Caenorhabditis elegans: one gene and its partner. The protein of the gene in region 1 purifies or fractionates together with the protein of each later gene. This does not show direct contact. Each region holds a gene or a part of one and is shown on either strand. Other genes may lie near its edges.

Region 1 (2,641 bases):
AATCTGGTTTAAATATATTTCAAGTATATTTGAAATATATTTGAAACAGATTATTCTGGACAAGATTCAGAAAGATCCATCGAATACTCTGATTTCTAATAATGGTATCTCTTTTTCCAAAAAATTCATCTACAGCTGAAATGAGATAAAAAGATATAATAACGACCAATAATGCTCTCAACATCTTCCGAGAACCTCTTTTCGGCTCCAGCTTGTGGACCGTCTTGCAATAAATTGTTTCCGATGTTATCATATTCAACTTTTTGATTTTATGGCTAAAATACAAAGAGAAAGTTGAGATGAAAGGTGTTTTGTATCCTTGATCAATTCTGCGTTGTTTCATTTATTGTAGATCAAGGATTGTACATAGATTGAGTATTGTCAATCATCCTATGTAAAAAATGCAAAGAATATACATAGCTTCATTATTCAAAATTATAGATATTTGCTTTAAATGGATAAGAATCATGAATATCTGTGTATTTTAAAACGTAGAGTGAGGCTCCAGAATCATTTTCCCTGGGACAGTTTCTGTAAACAGTATTTTCAGATTTTGTGTCTGAACATAAAGCTTTTACCGTTGCCAAACCAAATATACGCGACATGTGCTCGTTATGTTCTTGTGTAGTTTGAGCGATAATCGAATCAATTCGTTGCTCATCCTTTTCATTGCGGTTGTGGATGATTCTCTGAGAAATATGAATTTACGCGAATACGTACACGAGGAACCAACCTGTCTGTTGTCAACACGATTATCCCGTTCGCTTCCGCTGCGTTCAGTATAATTATCGCAATTAGTAGTGGTAGTAACCTTGGCGTCGATAGCCCAACCCATAATTGCAATTAAAACAGGAAATATAGTGTCTTGAAGAACATGTAGGTGTATTTATGCGAGATAAAGATGAGGAAGAAATAGTAAATAATGAGAATGTTTGTGGATTATTTCATCTCTGAGAAACACGTTTTGGACCAAACTTTACTTCGGAAAATAAGTAAACAAATGAACCTCTTCCTCTTGTTTTTCTGTATTAAAAATAAATAGTTATCTCTTCAACTTGAAAAAGGTTCTCTAGGAACGATATAAACAACTCACCGTGCGTAAGCAAGACCAAATGTCAAATAACATCTCGAAAACTGGCGAGACCAAATTTTGAGTGAGTCTATTGAAAATAAAATGTAGTTTGTTTTAAACGTCATTGCGCATTCAGCTTTAGGATGTGTACACAGCGGCAGACCAACCCATCATAGTTTGTTTTCATAAGACAGGCTAATTTTTCATTATTATTTGCTCATTCTTGCTCAGTTTATTTTTCTATAAATACTCAGCCCGCAACCCTTACCGTTCAGTGCCGTTCGAAATCTATATCATTCGTTTTTAATCTAATGTTTTACAGAAAAAATCATGGGTTGGGCTATTGATGCAGAAGTCGATACCACAGTGAACGTGGGAAACAAAAATATTGACAAGCAAAACCTTGATAATAACTCGCAGGACAATAGACAGGTGGGTTCTCGGAAAAAGTGATTGCTAAATGCTTTCATGCTTTCAGTTTATTCGCGGCGGATACATGTCGACGGAATTATGCAAAGCTACCGACGAGCAATTCAAAAAAGTTCTATTGATGAAGATGGCTAACTCGATGAATGGCGATGGTAAACAAAAATGAAATTCATTGTAATTAATCTCATGGAATGGGCTGCTACATGTTTTTATTTCAATTTCTTATACTTTTTTTTGTGAAAATGCATAACTTGTAAATGAAAATCATCACTTATAAAATTGTGGCAAGGTTTGCTTGAGCGGGTTACATTTTTGAAACCTCGCGCAGGCCCAGAAGTTGTACCTATATAGTTACTTTGGACGGTGTCACGGTTATAGCATTCCAAAGAGATTGGCTAGACTACTTACATTGGAAGTTGAATTCACAAGAACTACAGTTAATTCGACAAACCGTATTAAAAAAATTTGTCACGCATGGCAAACTCGACAAATCGCTATTTTCTCTTGTTTATTTGAAATTAAAATAATTAGTTTTATACGAAATGTTAAAATAACATTTTCCGGCAAATTTCAAAAAGAATCCTGAATTTTTATATTATCAAACGGCAATTTGGAAACGAGCGAGAAATGATTTTTCTAACATAACACACCGGTTTGATGGAACACCTGTTCAAAAAAAGGAAAAAAAACAAGCTAGTCTTGCTCCTTTTTTGCTGGATCAAACAAATTCTCTGCAAATGTTGTTTGAAATGAATGTCTTTTTTTCCGGACCGGAATGCGGATTGGGGAATCCGGTCTTTTTTAGATAGGTTGACCCACTCGACCCATCTAACATGTCTAACTAGGGAACCGTCAGAAGGTGCCCATTGGAGTTGCACAAGAGTTCTATGCCATTCGATAGCCCATGTCTTGAAACGGTTACTCGTGAATTTTTAGCGGCAAAACTCCAGAATTTTTCCGACTGCCAATTTTCCGATTTCACTTCGGTAGCGCATATCTCCGCGGATAATTTTTTTTACAGAAAAGTCATCAACTAAAAAGTTGTTAACCTTTTTGTAAAGAACAAGTTCTTAGATAAAAAATTTTTTACAAAAAATTTTTTGTTTGAGAGAAAAGCGCGTGATGTGCGGCAACTGTTGA
Region 2 (4,892 bases), on another chromosome or scaffold:
TTCACTACCATTTTTGTTTTTTGTATTCTTAGAGTTACTATGTTTTTATTGTATGTAAAATAATGCCACTGGAAAGTTTGTCTTAAATTGAAAAACATTGTGTGAAAAAAAGAAGACAACTACAAACTTTTTTTTAGACATACAATTTTGCATGCCGACAACTATTGTAAATTATTCAATATTTCTCAAATATTATCCACGATTTCAATCAAGTTTTTTTTCCGGCATACGTTCTTAATTTCAAGATGTTTAGTTCAAAAAGAGTATACAACATAGGAACTACAAAAAACCTGACAAGAAATGCAAAAAACAAAAGAAATTAAAAGGCTGTTCGAATTACACCAAATATCAAAATAAAACTTTTCAGAGAATTTTGAAAATTTTATAATGATTGTTGCGTTTTAGCACTATAGGTATAGGTATATGTTTCAATAATTTCCTTGATAGCATTTTTACAGTACTTCATTTTGGTTTTTTTTTTCAAAAAGCCCAAAAATAAATTAATTCTGAAAAGTTTTCAACAATTAATTTGAGTTTTCTCGTTGGGCGAAGTAATTGTTTATCATCTCTTAAAATTAGATAAGAGGGTTGATGTAGTTGTTTTATCAGTACGTCAAGTAGGTTCAGTTGCAGTTCATGCCAGTGTTGCATAGTTTTTTCGCATTGAAAAAGAATATACTTGCCTGTAAATTTGAATGCAAGAAAACACTTTTGTAATAAGAATCTGCACGTGCCAAAAGTACTTTTTGCAAAAAAAATCAGACCAATTTAATCCATTCAGTTCTTAACAAATCTTTCATGATGAAGCAGATATTTCACGTGGTTTACCAAAAGTTTTTGAGCGTTTGGCATTTATTCAGAGGTGTGAGCATGACTTATGACGCCTTATATAGTGGAGATAGGATTATAAAAAGTCATGGCAATAATGGAAAAACATATCACATAATAAAAAGTAGAATACGTGGATTTATTTCAATAATTTAATTGTTTTGAAAAAACCAAAAACTGAAAAAAAAGAGTACTGGTCAATCAAACAACGAAACATTCTAATTTCATTTTGTTTTAAAGGAGGGATATTGGCATGAGTTTCGCTTGTAATATTTAGTGTATAAAAGCTAATTTTTGTATAACAGCTAATTTTCGAACGCTGCAACATGAAAGAATTGGTAACCTTAGGGATTCAAGCTAAAATTAGGCAGTTTTGAATTTTGAAATTTTAAAAAGACATACTTTTAAAAAAAATTTTCTGAGAAGTTCATTACGAATTTTGTTGATTTGAGTTTTGTCTATAGAAGCAATATAAGTTAACATTAATAGTTTCTTGATAAAGTTGACAAAATTTCCAACTTTTTAGCTACTGACACCGATAGTGTTCAAACACCTGTTTAATTACTTTTTTTCAAAAAAAAAATCACAAATCTAATCATAATCAATCAAAAAATACTCGTGCTACTGTCTGCTTGATTCAGTACACAAACAGTCAATAAACCGGTGATTTGTCTCTCTATTCAGTGATTTCACGGCAACCAACCACCCACGTGTCCCCAAGTTTCCCAATAAGTTATAATGTTTTAGTGATATGCCCATGCGCTTCCAGAAAGACTAAAATTAAGCAGCAATGGAAAAAAAATGCACAAGCGTCACCTTCGTATCCTTCCTTTCTGCCTACACATGTCCTCGCAAACATTCCTAATCTCCGCCCCGTCTTTTTTCTTTTTGTCGACCAAAACATTTCTCATCTTCTTTTTACATCGCATGTTCCTGTTCAAATCACTTTGACACTTATCTTCATTCCGAAAGGTGATAATATTTTGTTCGCTGTTTATTGTTTTGTTGTTGTGATGCAATGTACGCAAGAATAAAATCAATTTTTTTCAGAAAATGTCTGAAGAAGAAGAATCTACAGATAATTCTGGGAAACCCCCTATAGAACATCCGCATGATAGAGAGGTTAAATCAGAAAAACAATCATCAAATGTGCTTCCTGGAATATTGCGACGAGCTGAATCCACGGATGATGCTCATCAAGTCAGACGATCATCAATGCGACCATATGAATCTTTCGATGGTTTAAAAAATGATGGAATACTGAAAAGGTAATTTTGTGTACATTGCAGTCACATTATATGGTTTCGTTATGATGAAAGACAAAAAAAACGTGAAAAACAACTTGCACATGACCCACGGTTAGAAGATAGTGTGATCAAATGAGGGAAATGAGAGATCAAATAGAGCATAGTCTCCAAATTTTACAGGAAGTGATAAACTTCACGTTTTTTCATATTTTTATTTTACCAGGATTATACTGAGTTCAATGAAACTGAAATTTCATGCAGTCCCTGGAATTAAAATAAATAGCCAGAGAAATTGTTAAATTAGAGTTGAGTTTTCGCGTAATTAAAAAATAATTTTAAAATTTTAAAATAATTTTTTATTGTTCAGGAGGTAAATGCATATTCCGGATACTCAATTTGAATTTAAAACGTGGAATAGCTTGGTGAAATGTGGGAAACCCTTTTCCTGTGATACTAAGATGATGAAATAATAATATAAAACGTTTTATTTCATATTTTCAGAACTGAAACTCTAAAAATGCTTCAGTACTCACTGTTTTCATTTCCGCCAAACCCATAACCCATGTACAATAGAGCGCCCTTGAATAATCTCTTAACTTTGTAATATCATTTTTTTAAATTTTTTTAATAGTATTTTAATACAAAAATGTTAACTAATTAGAAATTTTTTCAGCCTTGAGAAATAATAGAAAAATACAAGGCAAGTTTGAGAGAGCTCTATTCAAATCAAAGTCTGAGAGAAACTAAATGTTTTTTTTTCTAATTTTCAAAATTTATTAAGATGTTAAAACAATTTTTCATAAGCAAATTTTTAACTGATTTTGAACCTTTAAGTTGAAGCTTCAGACCTTGTTCACTATTTCATAAAAAATCGTGTGTAACCTTTAAAAATGTATCCAATGTGCCAGTAAAACATATATTTTTGTAATGGTACGTGCTTGCATTTTCGTTTTTTTTGTTTGATATTCCAAATGTTACAGGTTAGGTTAGAGTAATAGTAGGTTAAAGGTTAGTTATTACAGCCATTTGTAACCGACAAATTGCAAATCCTCTATCTATTAAGAAATCATCATAACTATTTTGTCAGACTCTAGATTTTTAAATCTCAAGTACTGATTCAGACATTCAGTTCAAAAGATTAGTTTCACAGCTTAAGAATATACTTATCTCTTTTGCTTTCACTGACTATATCCTTATCTTAAATTTATCATCAATTTTTTGACTCATCCCAATGAAAAGAGCCTTAAAAGTTTGGGCATGTTCTTTTTTTCTATTTTACAGCTGATAATTTTGTTACTAAAACAACTTAACTTCTATATTTTCTATCATTCTTTTGGTTCTCTTCATTGTCTATTATTTTTCTTTAGTTTTGTAGATTTCAGCTCCACTTGATTCTTTTTTTACTTGAAAATAGTCTCGATGATCATAATATTTGCTTTTCGGAACAAGTGCACTTTGTTTTCACCATTTCCGAATTTTTATTGTTAAAGTACAGTAAAGTAACATCTCTTCTGTTAGCTCGATTGTGTTCGCATGACTGCACAATGCTCAGGTGACCGAGCAAAACTAGCTGAAAACGCTTTTCAGGTCTATTCAAGTAGAAATCTGAGATGTAGAGAAAAAAATATATCTCCTCAGTTTTCAAAATTTTGAGTTTAAGAAAAGTTTTGATAACTTTTATTATTAATTTTGAACCCCTTGTTGTTTACACTCTATATTTCCTTTTTTCCTTTTCTCAGAACACCATCCGTACTTAATGGATGTGAGACCCAGCACGAAGGACATATAGAAATTTCAAGTGAGAGTAAGCAAAAGTGTTTTTTGGCTTCCCAAAGCTTATTCACGCAGCTAACAATTGCTCTTTCACCCACCTTTGGTTAATCCATCCTAATCTGATCGCATGGAGGGAATGAGGTGGGATGATTAGTTGGCATCGGGGAAAAAACAGTTGAAAATGAGGAATAAATCGGATTAGTTGTCATGGAAAGCTTGGGAGATATGCGAGGATTCGGGTTGGATGAATAACATATAGTGTGTGACGTCTTGTAAGATATCATCAGTTTTTGTTTTTGCCAAATTAGCAATTTCTTTGAATTTTTTCTACATTTGAACATTGCTCTAACGAACATCATTTTTCGTTTATTTTCTAACACACCTCTCTAGGCCGTTGATCTTTGAAATTGTTTATTGTACTTGTTTTGATAACCAAAAATCGGCGAGGAACCAAAACCAAGCCAATAAAAAAATATTGGCACGGTGTTATTTCAAATGCATTTCGGTTTCAAACTATTTTCCATATATTCATTTCAGTATTATGTATATCGGCACCGGTAACGGTCAAAATCGGCTATTAAAGCTCAAAATAAAAATTGAAAAAAAAAATCGCTTTGTATGTTTTCTACATTTGTTCAGTTTTTCAGTTCACAATTTTTCAACTTTTTTTTTGATTTCTCGGTTTTCATAAAATCAAAAATCGTACCCTTTTGTAATATGTTTTACTAAGAGTTCTCTAAAATATTATTTTTCTAATTTATTTGATTTTCAGTAGCAATTCAATTATCTGTTAAGCAAAATTGAATTTTTAACCTTTCTCATCATTTTCAAATGTTTAACCGTTCTCCCGCACAAGGTATTTCACAAAAGTAAAATGAGACCAAGCAGTTTCTCTTCGTTTTAAAACAAAGCCATCTATTCGAACATCACTATGAAAGAAAAAACCGAGAAAAACAAGGTTGTCTCTCAAAATCTAACACAGACGCACGTGCCCTCCCGTTCATCTGCTCTTCTCCGCTTATTTTCTTTCCCGGCCTTGTTGTG

What was found. The genes of interacting proteins can lie anywhere in the genome.
Region 2: the proteins of F09C6.11 (region 1) and ist-1 fractionate together in Caenorhabditis elegans (co-fractionation; one large-scale study listed by BioGRID). This does not show direct contact.

The regions. Positions count from the first base shown.
Region 1 is NC_003283.11:16,881,476-16,884,116, forward strand, and holds F09C6.11 (Transposase), read right to left. Parts: upstream 836-2,641; coding exon 734-835; intron 690-733; coding exon 579-689; intron 532-578; coding exon 511-531; downstream 1-510. Other genes in the region: F09C6.12 (Flagellar rod assembly protein/muramidase FlgJ), read left to right, coding at 1,403-1,504, 1,551-1,667.
Region 2 is NC_003284.9:7,124,770-7,129,661, forward strand, and holds the start of ist-1 (IRS-type PTB domain-containing protein), read left to right. Parts: upstream 1-1,881; coding exon 1,882-2,096; intron 2,097-4,892.